Schizosaccharomyces pombe: one gene and its partners. Changing the gene in region 2 together with the main gene of any one other region gives a genetic interaction. Each region holds a gene or a part of one and is shown on either strand. Other genes may lie near its edges.

Region 1 (6,017 bases), on a different chromosome or scaffold from region 2:
GACTAATCTTATGTTAATTAAAGATAAGAGGACGAAGTTTGCTGAAATCAAGTACAGGTTTTGATTGACTAGGCATCCTCACTAATGGTGTGAGAGAAATCTGTTAGGATATGCAAGCTGTCATTTCTCACTTTTTCAATGTTGGAAACCTGTACACAGACAATGCATACTCTTTTCTATATCAATTTGCAAACTAGATGGCAGCTCATTGTTCTGTGAATAATCAGATTAAGGTACTGAACAACGGAATATGGATTGCAATGTTCTTTGAAGATCTAGAAGGGGAAACCATTTTTGTTAGTTAAAAGTTTTATTTTTTTGTTTTAAGTTACTAGTTATTGTCTTTATTTTCTTATTTTCCTTTCTCTGTGCACTAATATTAAATGATTTTACTCTTACTATTTACCAATTCTCTTGAGCAGATGAAGAGAGGAATATTTTAAAAAATTAGTGTAATCCACGATAACGTACAATTTGCTTTTTCAGAAATCACACACGATTTCGTTAGTAAGTTTAGCCGAACTTTAGAGTTGTGCCTTATACAGATATCTAGAGATCATTTCTGTATAGCGAGCGACCTTTAGTACGACACACTTAGCAAAGTCAATGACGTTTCAGTCAAACAAGTGACTTATATAGGATTCATACGTGCATCCCATTTCATCGTTTGCCAACATGTCCCTCGCTTGGAAAAATGAGTTATTGAAGCTTTTAAAAGAAAATGTCGACTCCAGTGGAGTTATTCATCCCGAATACTTCCAGCTGGCAACTTTACCCACTGGTAATGAAATTTACCCCAGAAATCGTACTGTAGCTATTCGAGGATTTGTCGGTACAGGATGGCATAAACCACGTCCCGATGATGTGCTAGCTACAGATTTATTGGTATTCTCTACGGATATTGCTTCTCACAAAGCTGCTGAGATTGCTGAGCAGCAAAAAAATACATTCCCCTCTGGACCCATACCGAACGCATTTGAAATGTGTGGATGGTTACCAAAGACAATGCAGCAAATTCGTATTTCCGGTCAAATTTGGTTATACACACCAGAACTTGCCGACCGAAATGAATTTCCCGCAGACAAGTTGATCCAGGATCATTTAATAAACAGCAATGGCCGCATTCCCGAAGAATGGTCTTGGGAAGAGGAAAGAAGACGTATTTGGGAGTTACATAGTCCTGAACTTCGCGCTTCCTTTTCTACTCCTCCTTCATACTCCAAATACCAAGGCGATGTGAAGGTGTCACCTTTACCTTCTACCCTCACTGGAAAAGAAGATCCCGGGGTTATTGAAGCTTGGAAGACTGCTTGGGGTAGATTTTCTCTTGTTGTTTGTGAGGCTAACGAAGTCGAGTTTTTGAATCTTACCCCTCCTCCAGGAAAGCGCGTTTTGCACAATAGAGATCTAAACACGAAACAATGGTCCTCCACTCGTGTCAATGTCTAAATGTTTTCCTTTTTTTTCGCACATCCTTTATGAATTGATTGCTCTTGATAAACGTGCAATACTTATGAACTACGAATATTAACTTATAATGATTACTCCTAACATTTTGGTTCTTTTTTTTTGTGGAGTATATGAAAAAGGTCTGATTCCCTCAAATTTGCCTAGCTTACAATTCGGTGGGTTTTGTAGTTGAATTTTTTTTTAGTACTGAAGCATAATACTGAGTACAAACTACAAACTCAGTGTATTCCGAATTTTCTAATGTTTATTTACGTTGTTAAACAACTAAATTATCACTTATCCTATGTCAAATTTCCAATCCGGCCACTTGATGAACTATTTACGTTTATAATAAATAAAAAATTATGAAAATTGTGTGTATTAAAGTACTTACAGGAAGACATTGTAAAAAATTGTTGCGAGATTAAGCAAATAGGCCAACCTACCTGCTAATGATGATCATTTATTAAAAGATCTTACCTGTATAATATTATATTAAGGTTATTACTATATGGCTTGTTTTATTATCTTATATTGTCTTACGCAGGTAGAAATGTAGCAAAAAAAAGGGAATAAAGCACCACATAAGAAACACAATGTCTTATTTGAAGGGACGGTGAATTGCCAAGTCATTTAATTTTATCGAATCAGTATTCATAGAACCGTAAAGGTCCCCGTTGAGTTAAGTGGCATTATTGAATACATGTGTGGATCTTAACTTATTAACGATACAAATTTAAAACCTGTTAACGTATTCCTTACTATACATTAAATACTTTAAGGAATTTTACCAAATTGGCTTATACATTGGATTATTAGTACTCGGTTACATAAGGGATTAGCAATTTCAAATACAGGATTGCTCATCCATCATTTTTTAAGCATTGCTGTTATTTAAGCTCATCTAGATCAGAACTTCTTTTTCTCTCTAAAGTATAGAACACTTGGTTTACAGAGTGACATACACTTCAGTTTGTCAGTTTATTGAGAAATAGGGACGGTATTGCTAGCTACTGGAACCAAACCCACCTTTACTTTGCTTTAGTCTTTTCTTGTTTTCTTCTGTCTTTCTTTTGCATTGAGCTTTTCATCGCTTTTGTTTGGTGAACAATATTATTCAATTTAGAGGTACATATTAATTTGTAATAACAATGTCTATAAGCTTTTCGGAATTGGTAGCTAAGACATTGTTGGACTTAGAGGTTAAAGTTGTTTTTGGCATTGTTGGCATTCCCGTAATCGAAATTTGTGAGGCTATCCAAGCAAGTGGAATTCGGTTTGTCGGGTTTCGCAATGAGCAAAGCGCAGCTTATGCAGCGACTGCCTATGGCTATTTAACTCAGCGCCCTGGGGTCTGTGTCGTGGTAGGCGGTCCTGGCGTTGTACATGCCATGGCCGGTGTTTTCAATTCTAAAACCAATCGATGGCCTTTGCTGCTTTTGGCTGGATCCAGTGAAACATTTCAGCAAAACTGTGGGGCCTTCCAAGAATTGGACCAGGTTTCTTACTTATCACCTCATACGAAATTAGCCGTGCGCCCCCCAAGTCCCAAAATGGTTGTTGATTCCATTCGAAGAGCGTATCGTGTCTCCATGACCGGCACTCCTGGAACATGCTATGTTGACTTGCCAGCAAATTATATTGAATCTACTGTCGATGACTTTCCTAAAGACCCTCTACCCCCAATTCCTAGTTCTCCCAAATGTGCACCTGATCCAACACAGCTTCAGAAGGCTGCATACTATTTAAAAAATGCAAAGGCACCTCTGCTTGTCGTTGGTAAAGGTGCCGCATATGCCTGCGCTGAAAAACAGCTCTTGGAATTTGTTGAACATACTGGCATTCCGTTTCTTCCGAGTCCCATGGGCAAAGGTTTGTTACCAGAATCGCATCCCTTAAATGTGTCTTCGGCAAGGTCAGCTGCTCTTCGTAATGCAGATGTAGTGCTCTTAGCAGGGGCACGTTTAAATTGGATATTTCAATATGGTCTTCCACCAAAGTGGTCTCCTAATGCCAAATTTATTCAAATTGATACCAATGCTGAAACTTTAGGAAACAATGCTGCAGATTTGGATTTAGCAATTTGGGCTGATGTAGGTCTGACAATAGATTGTCTTTTTAAGCTCGTTCAAACTTGGAAGTACAGTGTTGGCATCTCGACCCCTTACCTTCGCACGTTAAATGAAACCCGATCCAAGAATGAGAAAAAGGCTCTTGAATCTCGAAAGTCCAGTATACCGTTGCAAATGAATTATGCTTTGTATGTCGTGAATGAGGAGCTACAAAGCTTATCGCTCAAATCAAAGCGTAATATCACTTGGGTTTCTGAAGGCGCCAATACAATGGACCGGGGCCGTCAGCTTTTAGAAGTAACTCATCCACGTGGTCGACTGGATGCAGGCACTATGTCAACAATGGGAGTTGGTATGGGATATGCTATTGCCAGCGCATTTGCCCATTCATCCGACAAAATAGTGGTAGTTGAGGGTGATAGTGCTTTTGGCTTTAGCGCCATGGAACTGGAAACCGCCATACGCAACCAGCTGGATCTTTTGGTAATTGTAATCAATAATAATGGTGTTTACCATGGATTAGATACTGATGCTTATGAAACTTTACGTGATAATCACCAATTACCGACTACTGCCTTAGGCACTAGTATACGTTATGATCAAATTTGCGAAGCATGTGGTGGTAAAGGTTTCTTTGTAAAGAATGAAGAAGATTTGAGAAGTTCCCTCAGGAAAGCATGGCAAACCTCATCTGTATCTCTCATAAATGTTATGGTGGACCCGGAGGCTGCTCGAAAATTGGTAAGTATTAATGGAATGAATTAGGTATAAGAACAAGCTAACAATCACTAGACATTTGCATGGATGAGCAGTACCAAAGTGAAACCAAAGTTATGACCATCATTTAATTAAAAATAGAAGAAGTGATGTTCTTTTACGATTCTTAAAAATCGGAATACAGTTATTGTTGCTATTCAAATAAAGTCGTTTATTAAAAAAAAGTATTAAATATAATCTAAAGGAAATTAAAAATATTAAAAAATATAAAGATAGTGATAAAACAGCAGAATTAAATAAGCTTAGAGTATGCTTGTTCTATGTCCTTCAGCAACCATTCCTTAGTAGAATTACGATTTCTTCTTAAAGGTAAAGCACCTTCATATGTACCATTATTAGGCTGAGCTGGTAAATCTAATATATGCGAAAGAATGCCATAAATTTCGGTGTTCTGGAACGGTGCAAGCTTCTTTCCCTTAAAATTCTTAAAAGAAGATCCTGAAGCGATAAAAAGTGCTCTCATCACTGGAGACAAATTGTCATAACCATGTACACCCAAAGGCTCATACTCCAACTCCGGTGAATGATCCAGCATCGAGACAAGAGACCATCCAACATCCGGGATCATCCAAACGGGAGCTATTCTTTCATTATTTGAGTAATGCCATCGAGAAGGTATATCTTTCTTTGAATAAACATTCCAATTCTCAGCAGAAGGTAATGACGAGCGAGAATAATTAACAAGACTTTCGTAAATGTACTCATCATCTAAATCAGATTCTCCTCTAAAACCTCCTAACGGCCAAGCATCTCTGTGTGCAACGGCAGACAAATTAAACATATTATCCAGCCAGATAAGACGATTATCGGATGTAGGCGCCATTCCATGATCACTTAAAAAAATAATGTTGACATGCTTATCGATATTTCTTTTCTTCAGTCCTTCAATTAGTTCACCAATTACGATATCAACTTCTTGAATTATGATATTCAGTTCAGGCGAATCCGGTCCAAATGCGTGCCCAACCATATCTACATGGGGAGCATAAGCAAGTAATAACTGAGGGCGGTCTTTATCAGGAAGATCCAGCCATTCGAGTATTCTATCTTTCTTTTCTCTTAGAGTCGTATCAAAATTGAAACCATCCGAATAAGTAGGTCTGTAACCATGATTCTCCACTTCATTTCCAGGCCACATATGTACCGCTGATCGAACGTTATTTCGCTCAGCGTTGACCCATATAGGCTCCCCTTTATCCCACCAAGTTGGGTCTTTGTTACATTCAGGCATACTGTTGACAAATTGCTTCCCAGTTACAGGATCAAAAAAGTTGTTACTAACGATTCCATGGCTCTCGGGATATAAACCGGTAACAATAGTATAGTGATTAGGGAAAGTTATACTAGGAAAAGAAGGAATCAAAAAGGGAACATGGACATTACGTTCAGCCAGGCTCAGAAGATTAGGTGTGAACCCACGATATAAGTAATCAGCACGGAATCCATCCAAGGAGATTACGATGACAGTGGACTGAAAAACATTGGTCCCATTGTTGAAGGAACCTCCAACGATAGGAAAAATAATTGCTTTGAAGCAAAATAATTTCACAATTGCCAATATCAGAATTCCTAAAATGCAAATAGCGGCAATTGCTAGTCCCGATCGTTTTGCCCATTGATTCAAATAAGCCTTTCGATCATTTTTCAAAGGCAAATACTCGTTGGACCCAATATTAGCCCAACTAAACATTTCGGCGAATGTTCAAAATCAATGATATA
Region 2 (6,515 bases):
CATTCAGTACATAGATTGGTGTGAATGATATTAGCAGTTTTATCAAGAAAGGGGAAGAATTATCTGTCGACCTGGAAGGATTGTTTTCTCTATGTGTGTTAGGAGAATTGCTTACACGTGCGTGATCTGTTTAAATTAATATGATTGAAAGACTTTAGTAAAGAAAGAACATGTATTAAAATGTGTGCATTGCATGGCCAACTGTAAACAATGACCAAAGCATGCAATTTGACTACGATGGCAAGCTTCAATTTCAATTGAGTAATTCCTTTCTTATTATTTACAATTCTTACCCGAGTATGGAGGCAGTGCGCCCTCTTCCTCTGAATCATATTCTGGAAGTAGCCCTTTTTCCAAATCGATTTCATGTCCTGTCTTCGATTCATCTCCTTCATCTATAGGACTTTTCAAGGAAGTGTAATTATTCTTCATTTTTTCAAGATCATTCTTTATTTAATAAAATACATGCGCGAATTAATTGCTATAATTGCGACAAACGAAACAGCGAAATCAAGAATTTTCACTCTGGAGCCCAATTTCAGCCGTTCAACATAAAAAACGAGCAATTTCTTTCAAAGAAGACTTCTCTCTTTAATAATAGTAGGTAAAAGTTAAAATTCGAAAACTCATTTTCAAAATGCAATTGCTTCTGACACATTTATTTTGTCACTGCCCTTTTTATTTACCCTAACTTAGCTTTCCTTAAAACGTTTTTGAGAAGCAAACGTTGTAGTATAATTATAATGTCAGCTACGCAGTTTGGTATCTGGTTTAACGATATATAGCACTGCGGCGAGATTTCTAGGGATTTACAACATAGCGGTATGCGCTTTGTTAACTAATAATATTATATTTATTGTTATAAAAAGTCTAGTAGTATCGGTCACCGATATAGCCAATAACTGAACTGAGGAATGAGGTTCAGTGGTAGCTCTATTTATATTTTTCTCTAGTTGCTACCAATGTGTAACTTGTGTAGATAGATGGACAAACAGCTACAATCATCAATAAACTAATGTTATGTATATTTTAGCATGACATATAGTGCTACGCAACGTAGTATATCGTAGCGTGCTGGACTACTGCTGACACAGTATTTGAGTTGAAACATTTCTGCAAAGGTTACATAAATTAGTGTCATTTAGAGCTTAGGAATTCAAATTCGATGGTGTTAATGGCTTCTTGAAGCTTTTTTCATTCCTATATTTATTCACTATATCTTCCTTCTCGTTGTTTATGAGCAATAAGTAAAGAGCCGACTTTTGCTGGTTCTTAGATTAGTGAATATATGAACATTAGTGTTTCAATGCTTTACGCTCTATGCTACCATGGAAAAGATCGAACAAAATGGATTGTCGTGAGCGTTGCATACTAAATCTTGGCTGACAGAACTGTAGGTGCATATGTAGTAACGGTCGTGCTTGCAATTGTTCCATTCCAACAGTATTGATTAAAGCAAGAAGCACATTGACTTGGAGTCGACATGTTTTTGCGTTCCAAGGAACGTTGAACGAGAGCGCATGCAACGCAGACAGCAAATGAATCACTGTTATTTTGGGTAGCAGCAACAGCGGCATTTTCAATCATTCCACTGGACAAAGTATCTTCCAGTTGAACAGTGTAGGTAGTGACATTTGCATACATAGTCCAAGGATAGTTGGGGAAGTAAACTACAAGAGGAGGAGTATCGTCATTAACGGTATGGTTTCCGGCTGTGGTGTTTCTACCGTCGCAACCGAAGAAAGTTGGATGAGTGTTCAAACCAAGAGCCAAAAATGTGTTGGTATCAGGAATATATGGGAAACCACGAACGCCAGAGGAGTTAGTGGCTAAAACTCTTTCATATGTAGAAACTAGGGACGATCCATCTGGCCATCCACTCGTTGCGCTTTGATAACCCCCGTCAATCGCAAAAATAACATCTACGTCTCTTTGTGGATGAAGCAAGGGCCAAAAGGGAATACCTTCACTATCTGAGCCACCGTCTATTAATTCAATAATGGGATACGGCTCCAAGGGATTGGTAGTGGTTGTATTGGAAGCATTTCCATAACCTTGGTAAGGGTTGGGATAAAGACCTACATCCAATTGATCTTCGGCAAGCATTTCGAGGAAACTAAGGACAGCATTGTTAAAGGTATTATTACTAGCGGTGAGTGATGCATTTGTCGCAGGAAGGATACCGCTAAAAACATTTGAAGAGGTACCCATGAGGAAACCAGCGTTGTCGAAATTACGCACACAGGATTCATTAAGAGGAATGCCATTAATAAGGTGTGTACCTGTATACTCCATGGGTATAAATGATTCCACCCCAGTGTCCCAAGTACCAAATTCGATGGGTGTAAATTCAAAGACAGTGTCGTTCAAAGGGATTACGGTTTCACCCTCTATGACATTATCAGCAATGATGATGGGAAAGGGAAATTCACCATCCTGGAACCACGTTTCATTTGTTACACTAGAGAATGTAGTATTAGCACCTCCAGTCAAAGGATTGACAAGCTTAAGAGCCAAAGCACGGCCCCAAAGGTCAGTAATGGAGACATTGAATCCAGCATTCTTCTTTTGCAGAACTTGCTCAAACCACTCTTGGTAAATATAAAAGTTCTCAAAAGCGTCGTCATAGGGAGCGAAGAGACTGTGGTCCAGGTTCCAAACGTCGTCGTGCAAGAAAGTAATATTGGCAAAGTTGTTAACCGCAACAGATCCCACAAGCCAAGAGCCACCAGAAAGACCAGTAAGGTACATGGAAGATTGAAGAATACCACCAAGAGACGTAGTGTTACCATTTCTAGCATCAAATGCATTAATAGCGCCGGCTCCCGTTAACATGGCAGGAAATCCACCGCCAGAGATTGCAATTCCCAAACGAGGGCCATCTGTGTCATTCAGCACACTTTTTGTATCGATTTTTAAGCCGGTTTTTGAAATAAAGCTTTCCAATGCACTGTTAACCTTTGAGACACGTTTGTCAACAAATTCTTGTTCACCAGTACTAAGGCCATCGGAGGCAGGTCGAAGCAGAGAGCCACTAGGGCAAGCAACAGTATAAGGCGCATACGATGGGCTTGTGCTACGCTTGGAAAGGGGTATAGAGTTTGCTGGCTTATCAACGTTATCGGGTTTCAATAATCCGATTAGTTCTGGGTCTGAAACGTCTACTTCATCGATACGAGAAGGAAGGCCCAAGGCCGGCAAAAGCTGGAGAGCGAGAAATAATCCAAAGGAAGATAATTTCATGTTTAAAAAAAAATAAAATAAAAATTAAAAAAGCAAGGTTGGTTTAATAAAGGATAAAAGGATAGAATACGGTCAATGATTCGTTTTTAAAAAAAGTTCGAATTTTTCAATTTTCTCTGAATCCAAAAAAAGCAAGAGAGTGATTAACAAACAGCGAGTTTCTAAAGTCTGAATTTTTTGAAATTTTCTGAGAATGAAAAAAATCAAGACAATGAAAGTAATCAATTAAAGAGCTTTCAATTGTCAATTCCCAATCTAGTAAGTTCAACGAAAAATATTTAGATATCTAGAGAGTCCGTCGAGCTACAATGTCAATAAAAGCAAATTAAGCATTTGATGGAGCGGTTCGGCAAGCGATGAGCTTAAACTATATTTCCATCAGGACACCTAGTTTTGTCGAAAAGGTTGGGATGAGACAGGATTTCGACATATTTCCAAGAAAATAATATCATGTTCTTTTTTATGATTTAACCTATCTTTTTCCATTGAAATAAAAAAATCCCAATTCAAATTTTCAAGTTGGGATTTTGCTTACCCACCGTCCGTTTTAGGAATAGACAGACGTTTTTGCTCATTTCCTTGCCAAACACAAACCGGCCTTGCCAACTTTCTAGGCATTTGTAAATTGCTTGCTTACCTACACAGATCACACTAAAGAAGGATGAATCACTGATTGTTTGTTTTAACGGGATTTACCGATTCAATCACTAAAGTTGCAACCTTTATTCATTTATTCCCAAGTGCTATATATATAATATATATAGGCTTTTGAGGATGAACTCACTTGTAGACTCACTTTTCGCATGACCCACGTTTCTCATGATCTGCTTACCTTGATCCGCAATTCGGCGTGGACTAGAAGGAACTCCGAAGATGCCATCTATGATGTTAACGATTTTCTATATGTAGCACCGTGAGATTATGAAATGGTGGTCATATTACTAAGTCTTTAGATGCCAGTTGGAGTTGGATTGCCTAGTTATCATTAGCATTCATGGGTACCATTTATGCCCTATTCAATAAATATTTCAGCGATTCTATAATGGAATATTTAGATCAACCTAGGCTCAGCTTTAAATGACGGGATGAATATCAACGGCTAAATTTATAAACGGATACCAACCCGATTGCTGCGAACTCACGGATGTAAAATTGTCTGGTAATGCAAATCATCGACAAGTCCATGATGAAACGACTTTCTATTTTTTTTTTACTTCTATTAACGTCATTTAATGTCCAACTCTTCTAGGAAATCCCCAAATTCGAATATTCAATAAGGTAATGGGGTGCGATGTTTTTAGTTGATTCACATTGGAAATATTTCAATTCGAGATATGAAAAACCATTGATAGAAACAGATAGAGTAGAAGTTATTGCTTGATGCAACAAAATTTGAAGATTTGTTAATTTACAGATTTGCTATTCTACAAAGTCTCATCCCTACAAGCAGAAATGGATCTGAATAGCGATCGCTTTAGTTAGGTCATAAGATCGGCAGTCTAAACGTTGACCGCACATGGCTACATTGTAGCCTTTATATTCTTTCTTTCTATTCCAGTTATAAGCTGATACAGTAGATCTTGAATTTCATCAGTTTGTCAAAATATCTCTCTCGTTTTATCATACTTTACAAACCCAAAACACAAACATAAGAAACTGCACTGAACTAAATGCAAAGCTATAAGGTATTGTAACAAGCTCACAATGTGATATATAACCATTTCGACAGAGTTATTAAGAGATACATTATTTTACACTTTGTTTAAGAGTTCCCGTGTATCCAGACTGTATACCTCCTTTGCTTAGTTCCCGTGTCTAAGGAGCTATAACAAAGAGTTTTGTAAACCTAGATTATGCACTGGCTTGTACGTCTTAAATAAATTTAAAGAACTACTGAAGTGTCATCGGTATGTGATGAATCCTTAGCGTAGCAAAGGCAGTTGAGGTATTAAGGTCAACGAATACTGTATTATAGTAAGTTTCGCAATACAAGTTAAGCAACAACTCGTCCAAAATCACAAATACCAACTTAAGGAGTGATAAACTAGATATGCGTAATTGTGGAAATTTGTCGCACAGCTGAATACTCCCTAAGTGTAATATATAGTTAGCCAAATTAAATTAAACTAAATGGAAAACTCTGATAACTACTTGTGTTTGGTGTATAAAACTTCGAAGTTGCTTATCTCTTTACAATGCCTCTATAGATTTTTTGTTTATGGTCTTATAGCTGAGGCTACCTTTAAAGATGTGCGACCAAGAGCAACTTTGGTAAAAAATTTACTGAAGGATGAAGTTGTATGAGATTTCGTATTTAAAACAATTTATCTTCTTCATTGATTAAAATTATATGAAGCGCTTTTTTTTTTCAACTAGAAATCCCTAAAAGAAAATAGAAATAATATTCAAAGTGAAACTCTCTATTTACGAAATGGATACACTTAGATTTTTAAAACACATTCAAAAGTACTATTGAGAGGAAATGATTGTTTTTACCAGTGTATTCTTTAAATGTGTAGGATGATAATGGAGTTATCATTATTGTTATGTAAATTATTTGATAATATACCGGATATCGGTAATGAATTGAAATCTTGCGAATCTAAAAAATACAATGAGAAATGAATTCACATGAAATATTCAGAAGTAAAGTACTTCTAGGATCCTATCAAGCATGTATGAAGAATCACATATTAGCCAACTAAAGATTCGCGTATAACTTCTTCACTAATCAATTAATTTCAAATTTTTATTTCCCCAAAATAGCCAAAACCTATTAAATTCCCAATAAACAATTATAAAAAACCCATAAATTTTCCTTCTTTTAATTATTTTTACCACTTATTGGCCAGCAATAAGGGATTATCATTATCTGTTTGCACTGCACGATAGGATGTGTGAAGAAACTTGGGTGTCAGCGTAGGATCTTTGACCCATTGTTCTAACATATAGGATACTGCGGATTGATCTACAGACCTGGTACCGGGTTCATAGTACAGTTTCTCAACTTGTTGCATCCAATCTCTGGCTGAGACAATTCTTTCGACAGAGGGGAATGGAAGCTGACCGCCTCCATTGATACAACCACCTGGACATGCCATGACTTCTACATAGTCATAACGTGAAGGCTCTTCTGTAGGATTTTGAGCATTGCTTCTTACTCGTTTTTTTAATAAAACCCGGCCTTTTCGAACCGAGGAATTTCCATGTACGCGGCGTACCAAATTTTGAATGTTTCGGAATCCATAGCACGTTGCCATAGATATTAACTG
Region 3 (5,358 bases), on a different chromosome or scaffold from region 2:
TTTGCATCTTCAATCGTTTAATCGGCTGACCTATTTATTCTAAATTCCTTACAAAAATCCTTTTTACCTTGAATGTCACACCTTTAAATATTGAAAAGATTACGGAGTTGTTTTTATTATTATTATTATTATTATCATCATTTTCGTTGTTAATTTTAATCTTTTCCTTCGATATTCTGTTTTTGGCTTTTTTATTTTACCTTTACTTACCTACGCCTATTTTATCCTATTTCACTTAATTTCCCTGTTTCAGGAGGTTTTTTTATTCGAAAATTATTTCAAAGAGTGCGTCTATCCTTTAATCCTTCCACAATGTCGCGAAAAAACCTCATAAAACTTAATCATGATCCTACTGTCACTTACAGTACCAAAGATGATGCTGATGAATTATTTGATGATCTCTCTTCTTCTCCTCTTCATGAAAATGTTAGTTGGATATCTTGGTTCTGCTCAAGACCAGGTCGTGAATACTTTGTCGAGGTGAAGGAAGATTTTATCGAAGATCTTTTCAATTTAACCGGTCTTAATTTGGCTGTCCCTTTCTATAATGAGGCTTTGGACCTAATTCTCGATCGGACAGCTCCTGACACATTGGAGAATTTTGATATGGACGTAATTGAAACGAGTGCTCAAATATTGTATGGTTTGATCCATCAACGTTATATTATTACCCGGACAGGATTACATCAAATGGCGGAAAAATACAGCATGGGTATTTTTGGTTGCTGTCCTCGTGTAAATTGCTGCTATACTCATGTTTTGCCTGCAGGACTTTCTGATATAGTTGGAAAAATGCCTGTAATGTTATTTTGCCCTAATTGTCTTGATTTGTACGCTCCTTCTAGTTCTCGATACAAAAACATAGATGGCTCTTTTTTTGGTGCTACTTTTCCTCATCTGTTTTTTGAAAGCTATCCTGAACTGAATCCTAAGCGCTCAATCCCTTGTGGTAAAATTTATCAGCCTAGAATTTATGGCTTTAAAGTCAGCGAATTAAGTAAAACAGGACCTCGAATGCAATGGCTTCGTATGTACTTGGAAGATAGTGGTAGCGATTCGGAGTCTGAAAGTGATTAAAAACGATGCTTCATCTTATTTATGCCATAACCTAATGGTTCGTTCCTCTAAGCCTTAATAATACTTTTATTCCTATAAAATATCCTTGAAGTTTCTTTTCCGTCAAATTCAATTATCTAGTTGATGTCTCATTGCTTTGCATATAAGAAAAAACAGAATTTGGTATTTTTTAATATAATGTCCGCGAGGCATTTGAATTAGTAAATTCACACTAAAGAGCTTGATGAACTTCCAAAGGATTTAATATTGGTTACCTTTAAAAGTTGGGTAAAAAAAAGTTCCTTATTTCTTGTTGATTGATAATATACTTTGTTCATCAATTGAAGTAGCAGACTAATCATACATGTAAATTAATACAAGACCAAAAAATAAGGGTGCGCAAGTGTAACCAAAGGTGTGCTTCCTCAATGAATCCGATAATTCTTAACCATTGCATACATACCTTACAACTTAAATACATTTAATTGACAATAATGAAAAAAATTAAATAAAAAAACAAACAAACAAAACTGCTTTTGTATTAGAGAGAAAAATAGATGTTAAGAGAAATCGAAGTTTAGCTAAATACATTTTACATCTTCTTTGCGCGTCTTCTCATTTTGCGTTGACGTTCCCTCTCCATGCGCTTTTTTTGATCAGACTCAGAAAGCTTAGAAATATCGCCAGAGGATTTAACTTTTTTCTTGGCGGCCTTAGCGGCTGAAGCATGAACAACTTGCTCAAAGGCGAGTTTACGGGCAGAGGTAAGTTTCTTCGAAACTTCTGGTCGCCATTGGAATTTTGGACAACTATCAGCTACCAGCAACAAGGAATTAAACAATGCACTTCCCGTAGCATTGCTCAAACCAGAAAGGGATGTGATTTTTTTAATTCTGATTGAAGCTTCGATACGAGGCTTCGTAACATAATCCTTTTCGGTAGCAGGAGGGACTGAAGGTTGATCAGTAACGATGAAATACTCAAGGTTTTCAATACACTCGTTAATTGAAGACATAAACTCGGGAATTTCGAAAATAGCTTGACTACACTCATTGTTCTCAGACATTAAAACATGAGTTTCCGGTAAGTAAGGAGAGGAAGAAATGCGGGTAAAGCTTAAGTCGTAACGTATTTCACGAAGAATGCGCATACAGTCTTTATGAACAATGGCGAAAACAAAACGCTCAGCCTTCAAGTTCTGGTCTGCAAGAGTTAAATCGAATTGAAAACGGTCAGCAACAGGTAAAACAGAAGACATAACGTTTCCCAGGAGGATTTCAACGATTTGATTAAGAGAGTAGGCTAACAAATCTTGACGAGGAAAAAGCTGAAGTGTTGTATACACATTCTTCACGTTGAGACGTCCAGTAAGATAGGAGCTAAACTCGGTAGGAGAGTCATAAATGATTGGAGAACTGTTAGGACCTGGTCCATATTGTGCAAACTGTTGGCGAAAGCTAGACTGTAAGGAACCATACCAGCGAGAAGCGATTTTTTGGTTTTTCTTCTTTTGCGTGATAAAAGAAAAAACATAAAGGAAAAAACAAGCAAGAATAACAAATTCAAGACGGAAATCTCTCCAATCGACATGCTTGAACATTCCTGGATTCTCCAACTCGGGATTCATATTGTAATCCTCTTCGTATTCATCTTCCTCATCAGCCAGTACTCCTTTAGCTAGTGCAAAAACTAGAAACAAAAGCTTTTTATTAATCATGGTTCCTCCGCTTGTAAATTTACTGACTTTCGTGAAAGAAAAAAGGGCACTGGTTGTACGAAGTGAGATTGAACGTGGTGAAATAAGTAACGAACGAGACAAGCCGGTTCCTAGAGTGGGAAGATTAACTAGTGTATATAGATAGTTTAAAATAAGTCGGTAACCAGAACATGTCGCGATGGTGTAGTTGGGAGCATGACAGACTGAAGATCTGTTGGTCATCGGTTCGATCCCGGTTCGTGACACTTTTTTTGACGTGGAGAAAACACTTTGTACTAGTTATATCCAACATAATTTTGAGGTTTTTTCTTTTTACTTATTTTTATTTTTCTAGTTGCTATATGTGAAGCAAAATTAGATAGCTAACGGATGCTCAAGAATATTGTACTGGCACTTCAGCTTGTTATTGCAAAAGTTACAAAAACAGTCTGCAAAGACAAACAAGCATAGAAGCTCAGTTGGTCTAAATGTATATTACTAGATCGGTTCTGTAATTATTGGTGTTTTATTAGCAATGAATGGTGCTTTCAACTGAATATATCCGACAGAGAAACTATATGGCGTTACAATTTTCAAAGGTAGTAGTTTATCTATTTGGTAAATGATAGTTGTACGAACTGCTACGCATTTACTCAAAATCTTAGTTACATTCATGCGTTCTATATAAAAGAAAGTCATTTTGTACTTGCTTGTTTACGTATACGATCGGTTAATCTCAACAAAGCAAATAAAAGGAAGCTAGTCACCCTGTTGTACTTTATACCTAGGACATATTTTTTTTTTCAAACATGTAACATACCGTTACTGAAGAATGTCATAAGCTTAACGCTAGCTAAATTAAGCTTGTATCAAAGTTGCGAGGGATATTGAGATCTATCGTTATTAGATCATTATAGATAAAAAGATATAAATGAGAAATCCTCCATACCTCAACAATAATTGTTTATTGGTAAAAAAATATTATTCCTATCCACTTTTTGGTTAAGCAGAAAATCTGGCAGAATTTTGTACATGCCGCTTTGCCTATCATTGGCTGCTAAATAAATTCCTTGAGCTCGTTTGTTCGATTATTTACTACTACCACACGATACCCTAACGTGAGATTTTCTCTACTAGCGATATCAAAACTTTCGCAAACTTTTTCCAACTCCCCTCAACACACGATTTTTATTATATAGATTTATTTATCAAGATGTCGGTGAAATACTTTGAACCTGAGGAGATTGTGGAGCACAATAATTCCAAAGACATGTACATGGTCATTAATGGAAAAGTTTACGACGTTAGTAACTTTGCTGATGATCATCCTGGAGGCTTAGATATAATGTTGGACTATGCAGGTAAATAATTCGACAAAACTTTTGTAGAAGTAAACACCATATTATGTTGGAGACTGCTATGCTCAAAAGCGATAGTATACTTTTAATCGCTATCGTTTCATTCATCAGTTCTTCACTTGTGTGCCTTCTTGATTAAAACATTGTATACGGCTTTTTAAACATGTCCACTAACTATTTGTTTTAGGCCAGGACGCCACTAAGGCCTATCAGGACATTGGACACTCTATTGCTGCAGATGAGTTACTAGAAGAGATGTATATTGGTGATTTAAAACCCGGAACTGAGGAGAGACTCAAAGAATTAAAGAAACCTCGTTCATTTGATAATGATACGCCTCCGTAAGAAAATGATTTGTGTACGATGGTTGTTTCATGCTAACAGAACAGATTGCCTCTATTAATCGCATTAATTGTCCTGCCAGCCATAGCAGTAATTGTGTTTGTTAAGCTTAACAAATAAACTTCGAAGGCTTGCCTATTTATTTTCCTAATCTTTATACCTTCTTTTGTTTTTCGCGATGTTAGTATCACTCAATATTATTATGGATAGCAATTGTTTTCAAGGCTTCTAAAGAAACAAAATAAACGTTAACTTAGAAAAATATATTTCTTAAATGTCTTCCTTCAGTAAGAGAGCTCTTAAAAACAATGAGTTCAGCTCGTAACATGTAATTAACTCATGGAGATATTAAACAAACCAAAAAAGTATAACAAAAAGATTTAGCTAATAGTAAAGAGGGAAGTATGTAATCAGAAGTGGAATATAACTAATGGAAAAATTAGTTCTATTGGGCTTATGAAGGACTTCCAGTAATATTCGGTTGGACTTTAGATAAATTGATTACCATCTTTCCTTTGATTTCTTTATCACTCAGCTTAATGTTGTTAATATCATCAATCAAAACACCTAGTTTCCTTATTATAAACTCGGTTTCCTGCTCGGTAGGTTTAGCAACATCGTATTTTGGATCTAAATTCAATGAGTCGATTTGATCTAATACCTCCCTATCGCAATCATTATGTTAATATAGTTTCTACTGTATAAAAAGAATTTATCAAAAGCTTACTCATAAATGTTGTCCCGAGGGTCTCGCTGAGGTGCTTCGGTTCTCAATCGTAAAGAAAAGACGTCAATGAATTTATTTCTATTTTCAGTTAACAAAGAAACAGATACCAAAGGCTTCATACTTTGCGACATCGTAAACCTTAGACTCCCATTCTTCCTCTTCTTCACGTTTTCGTAAAC

The links. Genes that interact genetically often act in the same process or in processes that back each other up.
Region 1: mutations in plb5 (region 2) and hac1 together harm fitness less than expected from each alone (positive genetic interaction), as found in Schizosaccharomyces pombe (one large-scale study listed by BioGRID).
Region 3: mutations in plb5 (region 2) and SPOM_SPBC2G5.01 together harm fitness less than expected from each alone (positive genetic interaction), as found in Schizosaccharomyces pombe (one large-scale study listed by BioGRID).

Annotation. Positions count from the first base shown.
Region 1 is NC_003423.3:1,206,365-1,212,381, forward strand, and holds hac1 (2-hydroxyacyl-CoA lyase Hac1), read left to right. Parts: upstream 1-2,310; 5' UTR 2,311-2,600; coding exon 2,601-4,262; intron 4,263-4,313; coding exon 4,314-4,358; 3' UTR 4,359-4,492; downstream 4,493-6,017. Other genes in the region: SPOM_SPBC725.03 (pyridoxamine 5'-phosphate oxidase), read left to right, coding at 676-1,449; npp1 (nucleotide pyrophosphatase), read right to left, coding at 4,531-5,988.
Region 2 is NC_003421.2:1,740,217-1,746,731, forward strand, and holds plb5 (phospholipase Plb5), read right to left. Parts: upstream 3,244-6,515; coding exon 1,372-3,243; 3' UTR 986-1,371; downstream 1-985. Other genes in the region: wtf antidote-like meiotic drive suppressor Wtf16, read right to left, coding at 1-126, 294-432; nar1 (iron hydrogenase), read right to left, coding at 6,078-6,515.
Region 3 is NC_003423.3:2,574,036-2,579,393, reverse strand, and holds SPOM_SPBC2G5.01 (Ca(2+) binding protein), read right to left. Parts: upstream 2,833-5,358; 5' UTR 2,774-2,832; coding exon 1,649-2,773; 3' UTR 1,526-1,648; downstream 1-1,525. Other genes in the region: ckb2 (CK2 family regulatory subunit protein), read left to right, coding at 313-1,077; cyb502 (cytochrome b5), read left to right, coding at 3,966-4,113, 4,298-4,451, 4,500-4,572; Ragulator-Rag complex subunit Lam1, read right to left, coding at 4,907-5,117, 5,180-5,257, 5,301-5,358.